2 linked regions of the Pelodiscus sinensis genome follow. The protein of the gene in region 2 interacts with the protein of the main gene of each other region in a pairwise test. Links are inferred from orthologs where the notes say so. Each region holds a gene or a part of one and is shown on either strand. Other genes may lie near its edges. The genes, in order: RANBP3 and MORN4.

Region 1 (11,679 bases), on a different chromosome or scaffold from region 2:
TGGTCTTCACAACATCCTCTGGCAAGGAGTTCCACAGGTTCATCACATGCTGCATGAAGAAAAACTTTCTTTTGTTTGTTTTAAACCTGCTACCTATTAATTTCATTTGGTAACCTCTAGTTCTTCTATTATGGGAACAAATAATTTTTCCTTATTCACTTTTGTGCACAACAGTCATGATTTTATAGACCTCTATCATATCTCCCCCACCCGCTTAGTCTCCTCTTTTCTAAGCTGAGAAGTCCCAGTCTCTTTAATCTCATAAGAATGGCCGTACTGGGTCAGACCAAAGGTCCATCTAGCCCAGTAGCCTGTCTGCTGACAGTGGCCAGCACCAGGTGCCCCAGAGGGGGCGGACCAAAGACAATGATCAAGCGATTTGTCTCCTGCCATCCTTCTCCAGCCTCTGACAAACAGAGGCCAGGAACACCATTTCTATCCCCTGGCTAATAGCCTTTTATGGATCTAACCTCCATGAAATTATCTAGCTTCTCTTTAAACTCTATTATAGTCCTAGCCTTCATAGCCTCCTCTGGCAAGGAGTTCCACAGATTGACTACACGCTGTGTGAAGAAGAACTTTCTTTTATTAGTTTTAAACCTGCTACCCATTAATTTCATTTGGTGTCCTCTAGTTCTTCTATTATGGGAACTTATAACTTTTCTTTATTCACCCTCTCCACACCACTCATGATTTGATATACCTCTATCATATCCCCCCTTAGTCGCCTCTTTTCTAAACTGAAAAGTCCCAGTCTCTTTAACCTTTCTTCATATGGGACCCGTTCCAACCCCTAATCATTTTAGTTGCCATTTTTTGAACCCTTTCTAAGGCCAAAATATCTTTTTTGAGATGAGATGACTACATCTGTACACAGTATTCAAGATGTGGGCGTACCATAGTTTTATACAGGGGCAGTAAGATATTCTGTGTCTTATTTTCTATCCCTTCCTTAATAATTCCTAACATCCTATTTGCCATCCTCTCTCTCTTCATGTGACCCGTTCCAAACCCCTAATCATTTCTGTTGCCTTTTTCTGAACATTTTCCAATGCCAATATATCCTTTTTGAGATGAGGCAACCACATCTGTACACAGTATTCAAGATGTGGGCGTACCATGGTTTTATACAGAGGCAATAAGATATTATCTGGCTCATTCTTTATTCCTTTTTTAATTATTCTTAACATTGTGTTTGCTTTTTTGACTGCCACTGCACATTGAGTGGAAGTTTTCAGAGAACTATGCACAATGACTCCAAGATCTCTCTCGAGTAGTTATAACTAACGTATTATCAGGGCTCGACAAACCACAGCAAAATCCACTCACCAGCCCCGCACATGCGCCAGACCTGCACTGCACATGCGCGCACCACCAGTGAACGGGGCGACCACTGTAATCTACTCGCCATGGGCGAGTAGATACACAGATTTGTCAAGCCCTGCATATTATCATAATAGATATATTCATGCAATTTATTTCCAAGAATACAAAAGCAGGGTGAAAATTGGAAAAAATTAATAGTTTTTATAAAATGCAGGAGAGTTTAGTAAAACTCAATTTAAATTTAAAATAAAGGGACGTAGTTATAAAGTACCATGGAAAGCTATACTGCTTCCTATCACAAGCATCTTCATACAAATCAATCTGGAAAGTTTGTTAGAGGAGAATTCATGAAAATAAGTGTTGATGAGGACTAATCCAGTTATCTCAAAAAAGAGACATTATGGTAGTACCTAGAAGCAATAGTCATGGAAGAAAACCCCATTATATTAGGCACTGAATAAATACAAAACAAAACAACAGACCCTACCCCTAAAGAACTTACAACCTAAGTATAAGATAAGCCAAAATAGATATAGACAGAGGGGTGCAAGGAAACTGCAAGGCAAAATTGGACACGATAGGCAGTTGCCTCAGGCCTCTCAGCGGCCTAAAAGATGTCAAAAGTTTTGTACACTGAAAGGAGAATCTCAAAGAGAATTCTGAATGAGATTAATGGGATAACTTAGCGCATATTTACAAGGAGTTCCTCTGAGCATGAGGAAAAGTATGGAAGAAGGCACAAAGGTCTTATTTTAATCTTTTAATGAGTGTGTGATGGAGGCTGGCATCATGGCTAATCAAAAGTGTAAATCTACATGTCAGTCAATGTGAGATGACTGGTGTGGTGGGAACACACCATGAAGGGCCTTGAAGGTAAACATAAGTAAATTTTGTTTGAGGCAACAGAGAAGAGGAAGCCAATGAAAGGATGCAAGGAGAATGTGACAGGATAAGAGAATGACTTTGTTGCAGCCTCTATCAGAGGCAGGCAGCAAGGGGGGGAAGCAGGAGATGATGTTGGGGGGAAGCCAGCGTGAAAGCCAGTTTCCCCCAGCACCATCTCTGAGGGGGACAGGGGAGATAAAAGCACACTGGCAATGGTGCAAGCAGGGACTGAAGCATTCTCTACTAGCGCTGCTTCTGCTGCGATTCTGCTTTTCAAATGTACAAGAGCCCCAACTCTTTCATGTTATGAAAGTTTTCTGTCTATCTTCCACTTGGGAGATACACATTAAAACTATGTCTACACAACACACCTTATAGCAGTGCTGAATCTGCATAGTTATAAGGTGCACTGAGTGGCCACTCTTTACTGCTGGGAGAGATGTTTTCCAGTGACAAAGTAAAACCACCTCCAACAAGCAAAGGTCCCACTGAACAAAGCACTATGCAAGCAGACACTTTTCATCAATTAATTGTTTTTTGTTTGGGTGGTGGAAGGCAAGGTTTTCCACATTTTTGTTTGGGTGTTAGGGGGCAAGGTTTTCCACATTTATTGGAAAACTTGTGTCATTTGGGTAAGTGCCAGTGTAGATAAAGCCTAGGACCTCTACATGGTATGCCATTCTCTCTTAAAGCTCCCAAGGAAGAATTAATAAAACCAATTTCCCTGCCCTCACAAAATTATGGCTATACAAAAGATACCTAAATTTTCTCTAATCTTGCAAGGCATATTCTTAGCCAACTGCTAGACATAAATACACAGCATTAACAATGGGAATTTTACAGCTCCCTTAAATAGGCATGCCAAGAAGGGACATGCTACCTGAACACTGCATAAAAAGGGGTGACATATAAGGAGGCACCTAGCCCCAAACAGGAAAGAGAAATACTGAGCTTGCTTTTCACATTTTGGGGTTCAAGTGATAATTAAACAAGAGGCAGCTCCCACAGGTCTCTTCCTTTGCCACCATTGCCTCACAGTTTTTCACCATGAACAAAATAAGGTGACTAATGGGAACATAGAGGGATGCTCTGTTCACATTCGGAACACACACAGGGTATGTACCTGCCAAGCTAGATAGGCTCACTAGAAAAGGATTTGACAGGAATCAGAGGAGTAGCTGTGTTAGTCTGTATCCACAAAAAACAAGGAGCCCTGTGATAATTTAAAGATGAACCGGTTTGCTCAGGCATAAGCTTTTCTGGGCAAAGACATGCAGCTTGAGGAAGGGGGCCCTTGACCACAAGTGCTTATACCCAAATAAATCTGTTAGTCTTTAAGGTGTCACAGGACTCCTCCCTGTTTTTACAAAGGGATGCGGTTCTGTCCCACGCTGAAGGCTGCAGCAGGAAAGGAGTAGCTTTGCTCCTGACGCTGGGCAGTAATAAATAACACACGCCTCTCTCTTAGCGCCTGGCCCGCACAGCCTGCACCGACAGGCCCGGGCCCACGCCCAGCCCCACTTCCGTCACCCCCATGCTCACGCCGATGCCCCCCAAGGTGCTCGCTGCAGGGCGGGTGTCGGTCGGCTCCCCCCGGACTGGGGGGCGGGGAAACAAGACGGCCCCACTTAGGCCCAGCCTCTCCCTTTGTCCAGTCCGTTCCCCTGCGGTGGCCGGCACTGAGGCAGGCGGCAGGGAGGAGCAACTCCCCTACGGGGCCCGTGGAGCTCTTCCTGAGGCGAATGCCAGGCCTGCTTCGGCCCGCGGCCCAAACCCCGCCTCCGCACAACCGCGATAACGGCCACATCCCCCCCTACCTTCGTTCGCTAAATCCGCCATTTTACTTCCTCAATCACTCCCACAGTGCATCGCGCGGCCGGCCGGCCTCCGATTTACAACAGACACAGCGCGGCGGCGCATGCGCGCAGTGTCCCGCAAGGGAGGGGCTCTCCCGCCGTCAAGCGGGAGAGACTGCGCATGCTCCGAAGAACGTTTCTTTTTTTTTTTTTAACTCCCTTCCGCCTCACAGGGTTTAGTACGCATGCGCTAAAAGCAAAGGCTTCGTTCCGCCGCTCGCGGTTAGACAAACAGTGCGCCTGCGCCAAACCCACCCGCTCCGCCCGTTGCAGGACTAGCAGAGCCTCTTGGGTGAGGGGAGCGGAGTCAGCGCTGCAGGAGCCTCACGGGGCATGCGCACAACTGCACGCGCCACATTTCATAAAACCCACCTGTGACAACAAAGCATTGTCCCTTCCCCCCGCGTCGGGAGGTTGGGGGCGGTGGCTCAGGGGTGTGAGCACCCGGCTCCAGACCTGTCAGCCCTTACTGCCTCGTTCCCACCCCCCACCCCCCTCAGTCCTTCACCGCCACCCTCCTCCACAGCCCCCTTCCCGCCGCCTCAGCCCTTCACCGCCACCCCCCTCAACTGCCCCCTTCCCGCCGCCTCAGCCCTTCACCGCCACCCCCCTCAACTGCCCCCTTCCCGCCACCTCAGTCCATCACCGCCACCCCCCTCAACTGCCCCCTTCCCGCCGCCTCAGTCCATCACCGCCACCCCCCTCAACTGCCCCCTTCCAGCCCCCTCAGTCCTTCACCGCCACCCTCCTCCACAGCCCCCTTCCCACCCCCTCAGTCCATCACCGCCACCCTCCTCCACAGCCCCCTTCCCACCCCCTCAGTCCATCACCGCCACCCTCCTCAACTACCCCCTTCCAGCCCCCTCAGTCCTTCACCGCCACCCCCCTCAACTGCCCCCTTCCCGCCGCCTCAGTCCATCACCGACACCCTGCTCCACAGCCCCCTTCCCGTCGCCTCAGTCCATCACCGACACCCTCCTCCACAGCCCCCTTCCCGCCCCCTCAGTCCTTCACCCCCACCCTCCTTCACAGCCCCCTTCCCGCCCCCTCAGTCCTTCACCCCCACCCTCCTCCACAGCCCCCTTCCCGCCGCCTCAGCCCTTCACCGCCACCCTCCTCCACAGCCCCCTTCCCGCCCCCTCAGTCCTTCACCCCCACCCTCCTCCACAGCCCCCTTCCCGCCCCCTCAGTCCTTCACCCCCACCCTCCTCCACAGCCCCCTTCCCGCCGCCTCAGCCCTTCACCGCCACCCTCCTCCACAGCCCCCTTCCCGCCCCCTCAGTCCTTCACCCCCACCCTCCTCCACAGCCCCCTTCCCGCCCCCTCAGTCCTTCACCCCCACCCTCCTCCACAGCCCCCTTCCCGCCGCCTCAGCCCTTCACCGCCACCCTCCTCCACAGCCCCCTTCCCGCCGCCTCAGTCCTTCACCGCCACCCTCCTCCACAGCCCCCTTCCCGCCGCCTCAGTCCATCACCGACACCCTCCTCCACAGCCCCCTTCCCGCCGCCTCAGTCCATCACCGCCACCCTCCTCCACAGCCCCCTTCCCGCCGCCTCAGTCCATCACCGCCACCCTCCTCCACAGCCCCCTTTCCGCCGCCTCAGTCCTTGAATTCCTTGAAAGTAGGAATAAGGGATATCCCGGAAAAGGGCTTATTTTCCGGAAAATCGCGTCTACACTGGCGCTTTTCTCCGGCAAAAACCCCGCGGATTTGCAATTCCGAAGTGTCTCATTAGCATCCCTTTTCTGGAAAGGGATGCCAGTGTAGACACAGCCGTAGAGTCTGCCAAATGCTATTATTGTGCTTCATTAACAATAATCCTGGCCTATGTTCCAATTGTCTGTACAGAGCTGAGATGGCACACAGAGGGAACACACACACACATAGCCAAATATCTATCCCCCCCAAGGTTCACTGAACTCAGCAGTACGGGGATGAGATTTCAGGAGGTCACGTTTCAAGGAATTAAATATCCTTGGTACAAACTTTGATGTCCTTGTTGAAACAGTGCTTCTGTTACAGCTAGTGGAAGGTTTGAACTAGACAGAAGTTTGTCTTCTCCATAAAAGGGGTGAGCAACAGCCATAGAGACTGTTCCAACTCTTTGAATGAGTAACTACAAAGCTACTGGTCAGACCAGTGGCCTGAAAAGGAGGCTTTCTCTCCCATTTGTCCTCTGATCATCCCTATCCCACAACAGAGGTATCAGGTTAGGAGCTGGGAAGATTATTTGGTTCTAAATTCACACAAAATTTAACTACAGTAAAACTCCAGTGGTCCAGCATCCAATGGTCCCACACTCCTGATGGTCTGGCACCATCTGGAACCCAGAAGTGCTCAGGGCAGCCGGACAATTGGAGCTGCTCTGCCCCCGGCTTCCCTGATTCAGCCGCTGCTGAAATTGACCAGCGGCTGACTCCAGGAAGCCGGAGGCAGAGCAGCTCTACCCCAGGCTTCCCGGAGTCAGCTGCTGGTCAGTTTCAGCAGCATCTGACTTGGGGACGCCGGGGGCAGAGCAGCTGGGGTGCTGCCGGGTTGGTCCCCTAGCACCACCCCTCGGCGCTGCGGGACCAACCCGGCAGTACCCCAGCTGCTCTGCCCCGGGCTTCCTCGAGTCAGTCACTGGTCAGTTTCAGCAGCGGCTGACTTGGGGACACCTGGGGCAGAGCAGCTGGGGTGCTGCTGGGTTGGTCCTGCAGCGCCGAGGGGCACATCCCCCACACTCCGCCCCAGACCCCTTATGCCCCCCCCCCCTTCTGATAGTCCAGCATATTTGATAATCCGGCACCCCTTGGGTCCTAAAGGTGCCAGATTATTGGAAGTTTACTGTATTATAGGGGTTGGGGAAGCTGACACTTTCCATTATGAAGAATTTTTGTGATCTGTTCTTCACTTCCATTGTTTGCAGCAGGTATTTGGCAGGGAGAACAAATATCAGGTATTGCTGAGATACACAATGAAATCACCATTTTCTTTCCCTCCTGTTCCTCAGGGAAATTTGTCAGCCTGTCAAAATAGCAGCTAAGCACACATTCTAGGCCAGACTCACACCACTATTAGACTAATAGCAACAGGAGCCACTACAGTGGGAATACATGGGTACTCCCAGAGCAGTGGTAGGATGAACAGAAGGAGAATGGGCTTTCTGATGGGGCACACTAACCTCTTGTGAGCACCCCCTGTTGGATGGATGTGAACCCTCACTATTTCTGTGCTCAAAGTATCCTCTATTATAGGGCTCTTCATGTGGCCCACAGCCTGTGGCTACGTCTAGACTACATCCCTTTTTCGGAAAAGGGATGTAAATTAGACGTATTGCAATTGCTAATGAAGCGGGGATTTAACATGTGGCCCGCGGGTGGGAGCCAAAACAAGAAAGTAGGCAATATAATGGTCTTCTGTTGATATGTGTTTTAGTAGTTTAATGAGCAATGACAGTCCAGGAATTTAAAATACTGTCATTAGAGTTGCCAGGTGTCCGGTATTGATCCAGACAGTCTGGTATTTTCACCTCCTGTCCGGTAAAAAAATTCAGAAAATACCAAACACCTAAAAAAACATTTCCCTGCCAGGAGGCGAAAATACCGGACACCTGGCAACTCACTCAGCAATTGGGCCCAGCCCCCCGCCTCCCTTCTGCCAGGCTCCCCCACTTACCTGGTTCTGCAGGGGCTTGTCTTGTGCCTGGCAGAAAAACAAAATGGCCACCGGCAAAAAAGCCTCTTCTTAAATGGGCCATGCTGATTTTTATTTTTTAATAACTGCTGTCCTTTTATTTTCTCAACAGAATTTTTTTCCCGGTGTTTTTTTGGGGGAGAGCGGGGGTCTGTATTTTTGGTTAAACCATCTGGCAACCCTAGCTGTCATATGGATGGAAATCGGGTAAATATTGCATTTTATTAATATCAGCAGAACTGACTTAAATGGGGCCTGTGTTTTGTGCAATCTTGCCTTGACCTTTGTATTCATGCCTGTCAATGCGAAATATGCAACCACACTTAAGTTGCGGCCTTCGGCATGTTCTGTGAGTATCATTGTGACCCTTGGAGCTTCCAAAGTTGAGTAGCCCTGCTCTATCAGTTGTTGCCCTCATCAGGTGAATCTTCAGGGGCTCTTTCCTTTGGCTGACACACATAGTCTAAAATGGATGACTCCCTTCCAGAGTAGCAAAGGTTCAACAACGCCTATCATAATGCCCTTGTTGGAACTGTTATTCTACCCTGGGTTAGGTTCTTAGCCCCTTCTGGACTGGCTTTAAATCTATCCCTACCACATTATAAACCAGCACACTCAGGACTTCCTCCCTGGAGATCTTAGCCTTTAGCTGTTCTCTGGTGTCCCTTAAATACTTTCACTTGAGCCTCTAATCAAGCTTTATCTTCTCCTCAGGACATAGGCCACTTCACCACGCCTGTGAGGGAATCCAGACACACCCACTACTCCCAACCCAGGGACTCTACAAGTAGAAATCACATCTTGCTTCCTTTAATAGTTGCTTCTTGTTGCTATTCCCTGGGCCACATCCCATGTAGCCTCTTCCTCTTCACCCTCACTTCAGGGCTGACGTTCTCAACTTTTCTTCTTCCTCATGAAATGCCAGTGTCACTAGAGCCCGTCTCCTGGCTCTCCCCTGAGCATCAGCAAGGAGCACCCTTCCTTATACTTCTGGTCCGAGACAGAAAGTGACTAGCTCAATCATCTGATCACTTTTTAACTGAGTCTGCTGCACTTTGATTAGCTGGTTCCCTGCAGCCTTTCTCAGCAGACCTGGAAGACTCGCCTTTACTGCTCCTTTTCTGGTATGGCATGTGGTAGGTCTGCAAGGCCACCAGCAGAGGGTTTCAAGGGACCTGACATCCCTTATGCCAGGCTTCTTTGCTTCAGGCCTGGCACATGGATCCAGAGTAGTCCATGCTGAACAAATGGTCCATCTCACCCAACCTCACCCCTTTAGGAAACAGCATTTATCTGACAGCAGCTGAAGTAGTTGGCACTGTAGCTAGGGTTGCCAGGTGTCCAGTATTGGCCTGGACAGTGCAGTATTTGCAGCCTGTTTTTCTCAGACAGAAGGCCACTTTTTTGTGAAAGTATCTGGCAGCTCAAGTGGTATTTGCCTACCTGTAGCTCAAGTGGTATTTGCCTGTGCTGAACATTCAGATTTTAAATCCTGCTGATGGTACAGGGTATAGTGGTTAATATACAAAATAGGATTTTTCTCCTTTAAACTACATAGGAAATCACATTAAAATCCTACATTCAGAGAAAGTTATTTTGGTTACAAAGTCAAACACTTTAAAGTTAGAAAATGCCAGAATTATGACTGCCCATGAAATTTTAATTTGTTCTCCTTGCACCAGGATGAACCATGATGTACCATGATGAAATCTATAGTTATACAATCACATGCTTGCTATTTTTGACAGGACCCCTGCCTTTTTCAGGGTGGATGGCACTTAGAGAATGAATCAGATTTGTGGGGTGAAGAAGACGGGTGCAACCTCAACATTCTTTTAATGCAGTTTGTGACGCAATGTAATTTTTTTGGTTTTTGAAAAAGCAAACTGAAATCACATAAATTCTATCATTTGAAAACATACTGACATCAACAGGGCTGGAACTTTTAGATTCACAGCACTCCTCTGCCATTTGAGTAACTGATAGCAGTAGTAGTTTGTCATCCTCTACATGGAACAGAAAGAGAGATGAGGCACACACTTTGTCTGTGAGTTTCATAGCCCTGGTCTACACTAGAGAGTTATTTCAAAATAACCCTGCTTATGTTGAAAGAATATAATTATTTTGATATAATGGGCTGGTTATTTCAAAATCTGTACTCCTGCTTTCTTCAGGGAATAATGCTAATTTCAAAATAGTTATTTTGAAATAGTGTTATTGTGGATGCCCTGCTGCTGCTATTTTGAAATAACTATTCCCCAGAGTAAGTTGAAGTAATTGCTCCCCAGTGCTTCCTGGGGCTCTAAGTTGAGATAGCACGTCCACATTAATGGAGCCTGCCTCGGACTAATTTCAAGGCTTCCCCATAATGGGGACACGCTATTCAATGCTGTTATTTCAGGAGTTATTAAATCAATTTTTATTATTTCTAAATAGTTTCCTAGTGTAGACATGCCCATAGATATTTGCTGAATGTGAAGAAATGGTGATAGTTAGAAATCCCAGTGTATATTCCAGGTTCTTAGGGGAGTGTTTTCTAATAGTTACAAACCCTTTGACCCAGCCCCTCCAAACAGACACTTTCCAACTTTGGTCCATCTAGCCTACTCTTGTCCCCTGTTAATTTCAGGCCACTGCCAATTGTTCTTCTTAGGTCCTGTTTCCAGCCATTTTGGCACCTGAGGCAGGGAGCTCAAATGATGCCCTCATGCCACCTTTTCTCCTGCCTGCCTGTTATGTCTCTTGTGCCCTCCTTCCTCCAGCACAGCACTCCACCATCGCTGTGCACTAGAGCAGAGAGAATAGATATGCACCAGCAGCAGACACAATTTTCTACATTCTGGGTACGTCTAGACTACATGCCTCTGTCGCCAGAGGCATGTAGATTAGGCTACCCGACATAGTAAAATGAAGCGGCGATTTAAATAATCGCCACCTCATTTAAATTTACATGGCTGCCGCGCTGAGCCGACAAACAGCTGATTAGCTGTTTGTCGGCTCAGCGCGATAGTCTGGACGCGCAGGTGTCGACATCAAAGGATGAGGTTTACCTGGGTGGTTGACAAATACCTTTGATGTCGACACCCGCGCATCCAGACTATCGCGCTGAGCCGACAAACAGCTGATCAGCTGTTTGTCGGCTCAGCGCTGCAGCCATGTAAATTTAAATGAAGCGGCGATTATTTAAATCGCCGCTTCATTTTACTATGTCGGGTAGCCTAATCTACATGCCTCTGGCGACAGTCCTAGTGATGTCTCGTCCCCCCCAGTTTGGCACCTGAGGCGTCCGCCTCAGTTCACCTCATGGTAAGGCCAACCCTGCCTGTCTCCTCTGCTGTCCCGTTTGCTTATTGTCCAACTCTCCCTCACCCCTGCCCCTTTGTTCCAATCACCCACCAAATCTTGCTCCTTTCCCCCCACATTCTAATTAGGCTGCTTTATTCTTCTTCCTCCTTATTGCCTAGGTGCCAGCAGCAGGAACACTCAGGACACAGAGGAGACAGCTTCCTTGCTCTCTGTTTCTGGGTCCCTGTAGCCTTGGACAGGATCATGTTCAGTGCAAATAGAATCTTCAGAGAATTTAGTTGCCAAACTCTAACAAGGCTCTAATGGGCATGTGCTAAAAGATTTTCAGAGATATATATCATACCTTAGCCAAATGTGGTCAGATTTGCAGTGGAACAGTAAAAGGCACATCCTAGAAGTGGGCTGTGCCCAAGAAAGCTCATAATACCAGCTACCATTTTTATTAGGCTATGGCTACACTACAGGAGTTTTCTGGGATACCTCTGGTATCCCAGAAAAACTCTGCCATGTCCAGGGGATGAGTCTGCTCTTCCACTTTTTTTTTTTTGCGGAAGAGCAGACATGCTCTTTCGGAAGCCCTGTCTTCCTCCTCCCACAAGGAAGAAGGGCTCTTCCAAAAGAGGAAGGTTT
Region 2 (11,504 bases):
AGCGCCCCATCTCCGGCTCCCCCCGCCATGCCAAGGCCTAGCACCCGCCGCCACTTCCCCATCCCTTTGGAGCTGACCCCAGCGCCTCTCTGAGCCTGGCACTAGGGCCCCGCCAGCAGGGCTGCCCCACGGCACAGCCCCTGCCGGTGGGTGACACTGCACCACCCCATCCATACTGCAGCCAGGCCAGAGGGGACGAGCCCTGGGACTGCCTGGGCTCGGAGCAGACAGGGAACCCGGCAGGGGGGCTGATGGGGCATCTGCCCTGCACTGGCCTTTTAAGGGTTAAAGCTCAGAGCAGAGACAGCCAATCAGGGCCCAGCTGGGCCTGTATAAATACGGGCTCCTGGCAGAGGAACAGAGACTCTTGGTCTGGCTGGGGAGCAGGAGGGACCTGGCTGCCAGAGGAGCTGGAGGCTGCCTGAGCAGGGGCACGGTAGCAGGCCCACCCCCTAGCCAATGCTGAGTGGCCATGGGTTGCCCTGAGACAGGGGCTAGCTGATGCTTGGCCGTGGGTCACAAAGGCAAGGGGGGTACAGGAGACTGGGGGTTCCCTGGGAGGGGAGGACCCCAGAGGGCAGGGGCACTGACCTAGGACAGTATGGGGGAAAGGGAAGGGACACGGGGTTGAAGGGAAATATGACCTGCCAGAGGCTGGGATAGCACCCAGCAGGGGGCGCTCTGAGGTAGAAGTGCAGATTTCTGAGTGACCCGCTGGAGGTGCTGTGTGTGTGTGTGTGGGGGGGGGGGGGGGGTGGGGAGGTTGCACGGTTGATCCCTGTGACTATCTGGGCCCTGAGCAGACAATAAACCCGGGAGGGGGTGGGGGGAGCCCTGAGCCTGTCCAGGCCCTGAGCAGACAGAGAACCGGGGTGGGGGGGGGGAGAGCCCTGTGCTCAAATACTGGACTGTCCGGTTCAAAACTGGACACCTGGCAACCTTATTTCTGCTGAATCTTGTTAAAAGCCAGTAACAGGAGACTGCTGCTTGGCTCCTTCCCCAGACAGTCCTGAGCTGCACGGGAGGGAACTCGCAGCCCCTTCCATAGCGCCGGAGCTACCTGCACTAGCCTGAGATGCCACAGGACTGCCCGCTGTCTGTTAAGCTCCAGACCACAGAACCCACCCCTGGGAGCCGGCTCGTGCCAAGCTACCAGCGGATCAGTTCTCCAGCCTTACCCCAGACTCCTCCCGCCCCTGGGGAGAATCTCACCGGCTCAGAGGTCGGCAGCTAACCCGGGGGTATCTCAAAGGCCGGGGGGGGGGGGGGCGGATGCTGGAGAGGAGACTAACAGCTGGGCAGACACCTGCCAGGAAAGGTGCACTTGACTAGGAGCTGGGCAGCACGGGGTTAGCAGCCAGGGCCTGGCACTGGGGGGGAGGCTGCGGGGGCTCAGCCCTTGCATCACAGATTGCATTTGCCACTTTGACTCTGTGCGTCATGGGACAGGGCTAACCGTGGCCACGCCAGGGCTATGGCAGGTCACTTAACCCTCTGGACCTGGTTGTGGGAGATGGCTGGAGGCAGCGGCAGGCTGAGGGAGAGCACTCCCTGGATTCACTAGCTCCTGGCAGGCTCAGGGCCCAGTCACCCCCTGGCTGTCCCTGAGCCTCTCTCAGCAAGGGGGTATCTTAGGCTGCTGCTGGGGCTCCCGCCCAGACTGCCTGCAGGAGGAGGGGAGGGCTTGCTCAGGCCTTGGGCAGGAGGGCACAGACTATGGCTCCCATCCTGGGCGGAGCCATTCTGGGATCAGAGCAGACTCTGGGAAATGCTTGAGGCCCACACCGGAGCCCCTCAGGTAGCAGTGGCCAGGCTGGGTGGCCCACAGGCGCTGGCACCTGCAGCTGGTCGAGTCACTGATGCCTGTGCCCTTGGTCTCATCAGCCCACAGATAGACACACATCAAGCCCAAGAGGGCCACACTTGGAGGGCCAGGATCGCTGCTTAGCCAGAGCTCTGGGCTCTGCTCCCTCCAGGCTGAGGGTCAAAGCCGCCTCCCAGCTCTAGCTCAAAGTGCTCTGCAGGGGCAAGGGCAGGCATCGGGTGGGTCCTGACACTGTCCCCTAGACAACCCAGCTCGGCAGTGGCTCCCCCGTGCCTGTCTCACCGAACCACAATTCCAGGACACAGGAAGTGCCACTAGCCCTCTAGTCCAACACAGCCCTGGAGCCCGCGAGCAAGAGCCATGCTCGGCCTGTAAAGGCCCCAGGGAAAGCTGGGGCTGCAGCGCAGCACAGCGCCAGCCTGGCATGCGGCTCCCACGAGCCATGCTGCCCCGAACATGCTGCCCCTGCAGGCCTGATGGCGCACGTCAAAAGGCCACTTGGCTTCCTGAAGAGGGAATGTGCCAGCGTCCAAGTGGGGGACTGTCTGGGTTTTCCAAGGGTTTGCCTGCAGAGGGGGTGGCTGCAGAGAGAGGAGCCTGTGACCTGCCCCGCTGGTCCCAGCCAGGGGAAACAGGAGAGGGGAGAAGAGGGGTCCAGGTGACCCTGGTTATCTGGCCAGCAGACAAAGGCCAGGGGAGAAGCTGCGGGAGAGGGATACTGGAGGCTCGGTTGGGAGGAGGGGGCTCGTGGACTGGGCAGGGGGAGCAGGCAGAGCCCCCCTGTCGTGCTTGAGAGCCTAGGCCCTGAGAGTCCCTAGGATGGGTTCAACGTGGGGACATGCGGAGAACCCAAGTGGTAGGTATCACACAAGTTCAGAGAATCCAAGTCCAGTCCCCTGCCTTCATGGCAGGACGGACCCAGCAGCATCGTGGTCCAAAGCTGGGGGAGAGGAAGTCATGGAGGAGAGAACCTGAGCTGCCCGGATTGTCCTGCTTCCCACAGGGAGGGGCCTGCCTCTCTAGCAGCAATTCCATCAAGTGCTGCGCTGCAGCCCCAGCTTTCCCTGGGGCCTTTACAGGCCGGGCATGGCTCTTGCTCGCGGGGTGTGATGGCAGGTCAAAAAGCTGCTCTGTGGCATGTAGCTTTCATTGTGTGTGTGGCAGCCACTGTCTAATGCCGGGGTGGGAAATCTAAGGCCCAGGGGCCAGATGTGGCCCCTGAGGCTCAGGGCTCCCCATCCAACTATTGGGGAGCCCACGGTGGCTCTCCAGCTCTTCCTCCATTCCCCCCCCCCCACGGCGCTGGAGCACATTAAATCTACTAGCCTCCACCCCCCTAGGCTCTGGTGTATGAGGGGCACGTGGGGAGTGTCTGGTCTTTCTCCTCAGGCAGAGGCCATGTCAGTGAAGTCTTGTGGGTTTTGTTTTTGTTTCTCACCTGTGTGCAGCCCCTGATTTTTCTGTGGGTCAGTGGCCCCCAACCCCAAAAAAGTTCTCCAGCCCTGGTCTAATGGGCGCACCAGTCCTTCCAGGGCAACCCACTCCCTCCACCTGCTACAACTGACCTCAGAGACACTCCCTGCTGTGGTACACAAGAGGGACAGTGGCACAAGAACTCGGCCAGCAATGCAGACCAAGCAGCCCCTGCTCCCCCTCAGAACCTGCCCCACAGCAGCCAGTGACTCCAGCACTGAGTGGAGCTAGGTAGCAGCAGCCACCGCCATGGGAACCAACCCCAAGATGCCCCTGCCGGGACAGTCCAGAGAGGAGCAAATTAATGCACCCCATGAGCATCTGGGAAAGGGTCACTCAGGTGAACCCCACATAAATTACCCCCTGCACCTCACACTCCAGTACCCCAACCCTCCTCCACCCCCCGACTCCCCACTCCTGTACCCCACCTTTCCTCCCCTGACCCCCCACTCCAGTACCACACCCCTCCTCCACCCCCCTGACCCCCACTCCTGTACCCCACCCCCTGACCCCCCCACTCCTGTACCCCACCCCTCCTCCACCCCCCTGACCCCCCCACTCCTGTACCCCACCCCTCCTCCACCCCCACTCCTGTACCCCACCCCTCCTCCACCCCCCGACCTCCCACTCCTGTACCCCACCTTTCCTCCGCTGACCCCCCCACTCCTGTACCCCACCCCTCCTCCACCCCCACTCCTATACCCCACCCCTCCTCCACCTCCCTGACCCCCCCACTCCTGTACCCCAACCCTCCTCCACCCCCCGACTCCCCACTCCTGTACCCCACCTTTCCTCCCCTGACCCCCCACTCCAGTACCACACCCCTCCTCCACCCCCCTGACCCCCACTCCTGTACCCCACCCCCTGACCCCCCCACTCCTGTACCCCACCCCTCCTCCACCCCCCTGACCCCCCCACTCCTGTACCCCACCCCTCCTCCACCCCCACTCCTGTACCCCACCCCTCCTCCACCCCCCTGACCTCCCACTCCTGTACCCCACCTTTCCTCCCCTGACCCCCCCACTCCTGTACCCCACCCCTCCTCCACCCCCACTCCTATACCCCACCCCTCCTCCACCTCCCTGACCCCCCCACTCCTGTACCCCACCCCCCTCCACCCCCTGGGCCCCCCACACCTGTACCCCACCCCCCTCCACCCCCTGGGCCCCCCACTCCTGTACCCCACCCCCCTCCACCCCCTGGGCCCCCCACACCTGTACCCCACCCCCCTCCACGCCCCTGGGCCCCCCACTCCTGTACCCCACCCCCCTCCACCTCCCTGGGCCCCCCACCCCCGAGCCCCCCGCCCCATACACCGGGCCCCTCACCGGGACTCGCGCTCCCCCGCGGGGGCCCCGTCTCCATGGACAGCCGCCGGCGCGCTGAGGGCCCGGCTGCCCCTTCCCCGCCCCGCCCAGCTGGGCAGCGACACCAGACTGCATCCCCACGTGTCATTGGCTGTTACCATGACAACCCGTAGCAACACGGCTTCCCATTGGCCAGTGTCGCAGGGCCTGTCACCGGCTGCTCTCTTTATGCGGGACAAAGCTTCTACCCAGGAAGCGTCATCGCTGGGCGCGGCAGAGACCGCCCCCGACCGCCATGTTTTTGCGGGGCGCTCCGCGTTATTCCGGGGCGGCCATGTTTGTGCGGGGCAGCGGCCGCACTGCTGTCGTAGCTCTTTGCGCACCGCCCCATCCTCCCCTCCGTCTCGCGCCTGTGACGTGTCCCCGCTGCTGCCACCTATTGGCCCACCCCGGACTGCCCTCAGCCCCGCCCAGGCGCCTGCTCACAGCCCGCCCCCAGCCAGAGCTCTGACGCGCCGGCATAGTGGGCCTCGCGACTGGTGTGGGGGCGTGGCCAAAGCGGGCAGGGGGAGGAGTTACAGGAAGATCTGTGGCAAGCTCCCCCCCTTAGTGCTCTGACTGGTTCTGGGGGCGTGGCTAGAGCACTCAGCAGTGGGTGTGGTTAGCACTGTGAGTAATTCTTGGAGGGGCGTGGCTAGAGCGATGAGCGGGAGGAGCTAAAGGAAGGGTGAGACCAGAGCTCTTGTCGGGGAGGGGCGTGGCCAGGTCACTCATTGGGCGGGGCCGGGTAGGGGGCGGGTGGGGGCGTGGCCAGAGCGCTCGGGGCGGAAGGCGGGGGCGGGGCCAGCGCTCGGGGCGGAAGGCGGGGGCGGGGCCAGCGCGCTCGAGGCGGAAGGCGGGGGCGGGGCCAGCGCTCGGGGCGGAAGGGGGGCGGGGCCAGCGCGCTCGGGGGCGGAGCGGAAGGCGGGGGCGGGGCCAGCGCGGTCGGGGCGGAAGGCGGGGGCGGGGCCAGAGCGCTCGGGGCGGAAGGGGCGGGGCCAGCGCTCGGGGCGGAAGGCGGGGGCGGGGCCAGCGCTCGGGGCGGAAGGCGGGGGCGGGGCCAGCGCGCTCGGGGCGGAAGGCGGGGGCGTGGCCAGAGCGCTCGGGGCGGAAGGGGGCGGGGCCAGCGCTCTCGGGGGCGGGGCGGAAGGCGGGGGCGGAGCCAGTGCGCCGAGTGCCGGCCCGGTGGCGGGGCGGGGCCGGGCGGTCAGCTGACGGGCCGCAGAGCCGGGCGGCCATGGACGAGAGCAGCCCGCTGGTGTCCCCGCAGCGGGCCCCGGCCGCCGCCTACGGGCTGCCCGCGGGCCCGGGCGCTGCGGTGCGCGCCGCCCCCTCCCCGCCCGGCTCCCCGCGCGCCCGGGACCGCGAGCGGCAGCCGCTGCTGGAGCGGGGCGCGGGCCGGGGCGCGGGGGCGGCGCAGGCGGCGGCGCAGGCCCAGCGCGAGCGCAACGACTTCCCCGAGGACCCCGAGTTCGCCGAGGTGGTGCGGCTGGCGGAGGCGGCGAGCGAGCGCGGCATCTTCCCCGAGCGCATCTCCCAGGGCTCCAGCGGCAGCTACTTCGTCAAGGACCCGCAGGGGGTGAGCGGCGCCCCGGGGGGGGGGGGAGCTGCGGGCCCGGGGCTGCCCGGGGGGGGGGGGCTGCGGGCCCGGGGCTGCCCGGGGGGGGGGGCTGCGGGCCCGGGAGGGGGGGGGCTGCGGGCCCGGGGCTGCCCGGGGGGGGGGGGGGCTGCGGGCCCGGGAGGGGGGGGGCTGCGGGCCCGGGGCTGCCCGGGGGGGGGGGGGGGCTGCGGGCCCGGGGCTGCCCGGGGGGGGGGGGGCTGCGGGCCCGGGGCTGCCCGGGGGCCGTGCCTGGCTGACCCCCGGCCCCGTCTGGGAGCGAGTGGCACCCTGAGTGTGCTGGTAAGCTGCTTCCCCGGCTCTGGGCCTGGTGCAGGCCAGGGCTGCGGGTGGGGTGCCCGGGGAGAGGGGCTCTGGCTGGGGTGAGCCTCCCGCTGGCATGTGTCAGAGCTATGGGCGTCCGGGGTGTTGGCTGTGCACAGGGCGGCAGGTCCCGTCTCCCTGGGAAGGCTGTGAGTGCAGGAGATGGGCGTCCTTGCGTAAGGTGCCGGCTGCAGGTCGGTGCCTGGACTGCTCTGGGGAGCCCCCGAGGCCAGCAGCTGGCCTGCCAAGACCTGCTGGACTGGCCACAGTTCAGCCCTGTAGCAGGCAGTGGCTGGAGGGTGTTGCCATTACCCTGGTTGGGACGGAGCAGCCCGGTGCGCTGCCCCATCCATGCAGTGCCCGGGCTCACCGGAAGGGTTAGCCGATGGATTGAACAGGATTTTACACCCCTAGAGCCCGAGCGGCGGGTGCAGCCTACCCAGGTGTGACTGGGCGGTGCTGTCGCCCGCGGACAGGCCTAGCGGAGGTGCCAGTGGATGGGCGTCTGGCGCTGCACACAGCTGGGGTCTGTGCTGGGAGTGTGGGGTTTGCTAGAGTCGGGGGGGCAGTGACTCGGCTCAGCTCTGCCTGGCTCCCAGGCTCTGCAAGCGCATGGTCCTTGCCTGGTCCCCACGCGCCCGTTGGCCTGGGCCTGCGTCCCAGCTAGGGATGGGAGCGGGTATCTCCCTAATCGCTTCTTCATAGAACCGTTATCAGCTACACGAGTAGTGGGAAGGGAGGGCGCTCGGGCCGGGTTCCAGCTGCTGCAGAGGCACAGCGGGGGGTGGTCCTGGCTCACGCCAGCTCCAGCAGCCCCTGTCCGTGGGGGTCCCGGTGGGGAGCTGTGACCCCCTCCCCGCAGACAGGGGTTGATAGAGGCAGCAGCGTGGGGGGGGAGCAGGTGGCCCCATGGAGATGGTGCTGGGAGGAACCAGGTTTTAAGCCTGCCCCCCCCCCGCTGCCTCTGATCCGGTTCAGCAAGGGGGGTGCAATGCGAGTCGCTGCGTCGTCCCTCGGGTTACCCGCTGGCTGATGGTTCGCTTACATCCCTAGTCCAGCTGCTGCCCCCCTCCCCCGGCCCTGCTGGACACCCCGCCCCCTGCCTGCGCCGGGCCACGGGGTGAGCAGAGCCAGGCGGGTCCTTGTGGAGCTGCATTCTCCACGGCGCTGGGCGCGGGCCGTGTGCCTGCCTTGTGACTCCCTGCTAACCCGATTAGCCTCGCTGCTGCTCAGGGGCTGGCTCTGGTAGTGCTGGGTCCACCCCAGCACGGGCCAGCTGGGATTCTGGCTACTGGGTCTGGCACCAGCAGGGTCCTGGTGCGTGGGTGGCCCTGCCCCTGGCGGAGGGGAGGCAGCAGAACCAGCAGGCGACGTCCGGCCAACCTGGTTCTCGGCAGAAGGGAGCTGTGGGTGGAAGGGGTAGGGGCCAGGGATGGGGTTTCTCTTGGCATGGTAGCCTGCCCACCTCCGCCCAGGGAGCTCCCTTAGCCTCCGCCTCTGGGGGCGGTGGGCTGGGATGTGGTGCAGGAGACGGCAGAGGCCACTGCCCCCGGGCCGAGTAGCTGTGAGACGTGTGCGGTGTGGGGCCGGTGGGTCCTGGTTCTTTAGCCCCCTTTGCCCGCTGGGGGAATCTGTCCTCCTTGCTGCTTTCCTGGCTCCCCACGCACTTGGCGAACAAGGTCCCTGGGACAGGTGGGACCTCCCTGGGCTGCTGGGGCCCCAGGGGGGCTGCCGTTGTGGGCAGCAGCCGGCAGGAGAAGTGGGGCATTCGACTGCCCTCAGAGCAGGGGGCTGGGATTGTTCCCTCCAATGTTTTGCATCTGAGCGGGATACATTTTGTTCTGTGCACCGAGGCGCGTGTGGCCGTGCACCACCAGCAGTAACACAGGCTGCCGGCTGGGGGCGCTCTGCTCAGCAGCTGGTCGGCGCCTGAGTCTCCTGGGTGAACGCTGGGTTCCACGCATGTGGGCTCCTCTACTGGGTGCTGGTGGGCTCTGGCTCATCCTGCCGCTGGGCAGCCCTCCCCTCCCAGAGCTGCTGCCCAGGCGCGGCGGGGCTGGCTGAGCTGTGGATCAGCTGGGGGAGGCTCAAACTCCCTGGTACCCGAGTCTGGGTCTGCGTGTACCAGGCCAGGAGATGGCGGGCGGGAGGGAGGGGCTGGCGGGGGCTAGGAGGGGCTGGGCTGGCGATGGCTCTGGGCGGGCTGGCGGGGGCTAGGAGGGGCTGGGCTGGCGACGGCTCTGGGCGGGCTGGCGGGTGCTAGGAGGGGCTGGGCGGGCTGGCGACAGCTCTGGGCGGGCTGGCGGGGGCTAGGAGGGGCTGGGCGGGCTGGCGATGGCTCTGGGCGGGCTGGCGGGGGCTAGGAGGGGCTGGGCGGGCTGGCGGCGGCTCTGGGCGGGCTGGCGGGGGCTAGGAGGGGCTGGGCGGGCTGGCGGCGGCGCTGGGCGGGCTGGCGGGGGCTAGGAGGGGCTGGGCAGGCTGGCGGGGGCTAGGAGGGGCTGGGCGGGCTGGCGGCGGCACTGGGCGGGCTGGCGGGGGCTAGGAGGGGCTGGGCGGGCTGGCGGCGGCGCTGGGCGGGCTGGCGGGGGCTAGGAGGAGCTGGGCGGGCTGGCGGCGGCGCTGGGCGGGCTGGCGGGGGCTAGGAGGAGCTGGGCGGGCTGGCGGGGGCTAGGAGGAGCTGGGCGGGCTGGCGGCGGCTCTGGGCGGGCTGGTGGGGGCTAGGAGGAGCTGGGCGGGCTGGCGGCGGCGTTGGGCTGGCTGGTGGGGGCTAGGAGGGGCTGGGCGGGCTGGTGGCGGCGTTGGGCTGGCTGGCGGGGGCTAGGAGGGGCTGGGCGGGCTGGCGGCGGCGTTGGGCTGGCTGGCGGGGGCTAGGAGGGCCTGGGCGGGCTGGCGGCGGCGTTGGGCTGGCTGGTGGGGGCTAGGAGGGGCTGGGCGGGCTGGTGGCGGCGTTGGGCTGGCTGGCGGGGGCTAGGAGGGGCTGGGCGGGCTGGCGGCGGCGTTGGGCTGGCTGGCGGGGGCTAGGAGGGGCTGGGCGGGCTGGCGGCGGCGCTGGGCGGGCTGGCGGGGGCTAGGAGGGGCTGGGCGGGCTGGCGGCGGCGCTGGGCGGGCTGGCGGGTGCTAGGAGGGGCTGGGCGGGCTGGCGGGTGCTAGGAGGGGCTGGGCGGGCTGGCGGCGGCGCTGGGCGGGCTGGCGGGGGCTAGGAGGGGCTGGGCGGGCTGGCGGCGGCGCTGGGCGGGCTGGCGGGTGTTAGGAGGGGCTGGGCGGGCTGGCGGGTGCTAGGAGGGGCTGGGCGGGCTGGCGGCGGTGCTGGGCGGGCTGGCGGGTGCTAGGAGGGGCTGGGCGGGCTGGCGGCGGCGCTGGGCGGGCTGGCGGGTGCTAGGAGGGGCTGGCGGGGGCTAGGAGGGGCTGGGCGGGCTGGCGGCGGCTCTGGGCGGGCTGGCGGGGGCTAGGAGGGGCTGCCTGGCCCAGCCCCCGCCAACTGCCCCCGTCCGCAGAGGATCATCGGCGTGTTCAAGCCCAAGAACGAGGAGCCCTACGGGCAGCTGAACCCCAAGTGGACCAAGTGGCTGCAGAAGCTTTGCTGCCCGTGCTGCTTCGGCAGGGACTGCCTGGTGCTCAACCAGGGCTACCTCTCCGAGGCCGGCGCCAGCCTGGTGGACCAGAAGCTGGAGCTCAACATTGTCCCCCGCACCAAGGTGAGTGGCTGGCGGCTGCTCTGCCCCGCCCCCATGCCATGTGACCGCCCCCTCTCCAGGGGGCGGGGCCAGGACAACTCTGCCCTTCCCCCACCGAGGCGAGCCAGGGACCCCCGTGTCTGGGGACGCGGCCCCAGGTCTCCGATCTCCCGGCTCTTGGCTGTCACGGGGTTGTGCTCTCCGTGCTCCATGGCAGGAAGTGGGGGGGGGGGGGCTGAGCTGGGGGTCCCCGACCTGCTGCAGTTGCCCCCTGTGACGGCGCGTCGGGGAGCCTCCACCCTGCACCCCCGGCCGCAGCCGGATGTGACTCCGCCAGCCCGTAGAGTAAACTTGGGTTTATTGCTTCTCCGAGGCAGCGCAGCGCAGGCCCGACATGGGCCTAGGCCCGGCCGACAGCCCTGGTTCCCTGGGGGGTCACAGGCCCCTGAGCCCCCTGTACTGGACTTCGACTGCCCAGCTCCCAGCCCTGCCCCCAGCCAGGTGTCCGTCTCCGTCTCCCCCCGGGAAGAGCCTTGTTACCCGCCCAGGCTGGGACTGGGTGTCTGGGCCCATCCACGTGGGTGAGTCGGTGGGGATCAGACAGCGCAGCCGGGTGGGGACACCGGGTTACAGAGCAGACAGCCCCCCGCCACACCCCCACTAGTCCCTGAGGCTCTGGCCCCTTCCTCCTGTGGAATTTGGAGGCACGTGCTCCCCTAGGGCCCCAGGTCTCACCCTGCCGGGGCCAGCTGCTCTCAGCCTGTGCGCTCCCCCAGGTGGTGTACCTGGCCAGCGAGACCTTCAACTACAGCGCCATTGACCGGGTGAAGTCCCGAGGGAAGAGGCTGGCCCTGGAGAAGGTGCCCAAGGTCGGGCAACGGTTCAACCGCATCGGCCTGCCGCTAAAGGTAGGGGCTGTCGGGGACCCCCGGGGCTGCCCCTGGCCACAGTCCCCTGACCAGCCTCTCCCTGCCGCAGGTGGGCTCCTTCCAGCTCTTCGTGGAGGGCTACAAGGACGCGGACTACTGGCTGCGGCGCTTCGAGGCAGAGCCGCTCCCCGAGAACACCAACCGGCAGCTGCTGCTGCAGTTTGAGCGCCTGGTGGTGCTGGACTACATCATCCGCAACACGGGTGGGCAGGGCCGCGCCGGGCTGACGGGGGCCCTTGGGCAGGGGGTCAGGCCTGGCTCGGGCTGGTCCGGGCGATGCCACGGGGCCGGGTGGGGCTGGAGGGGAAGAGACTCCAGATTGGCGAGCCCCAGACT

Evidence for each region.
Region 1: the proteins of MORN4 (region 2) and RANBP3 interact in a two-hybrid assay, tested with the Homo sapiens proteins (2 studies listed by BioGRID). The two-hybrid records come from large-scale screens. The link is inferred for Pelodiscus sinensis from reciprocal best matches to the Homo sapiens genes MORN4 and RANBP3.

What each region holds. Positions count from the first base shown.
Region 1 is NC_134729.1:21,070,592-21,082,270, forward strand, and holds the start of RANBP3 (ran-binding protein 3), read right to left. Parts: upstream 4,352-11,679; 5' UTR 4,051-4,351; coding exon 4,029-4,050; intron 1-4,028. UniProt on the Homo sapiens protein: Acts as a cofactor for XPO1/CRM1-mediated nuclear export, perhaps as export complex scaffolding protein. Bound to XPO1/CRM1, stabilizes the XPO1/CRM1-cargo interaction. In the absence of Ran-bound GTP prevents binding of XPO1/CRM1 to the nuclear pore complex.
Region 2 is NW_027465990.1:7,057-18,560, reverse strand, and holds the start of MORN4 (MORN repeat-containing protein 4), read right to left. Parts: upstream 4,758-11,504; 5' UTR 4,627-4,757; intron 1-4,626. Other genes in the region: PI4K2A (phosphatidylinositol 4-kinase type 2-alpha), read left to right, coding at 5,882-6,223, 10,060-10,260, 11,016-11,147, 11,218-11,371. UniProt on the Homo sapiens protein: Plays a role in promoting axonal degeneration following neuronal injury by toxic insult or trauma.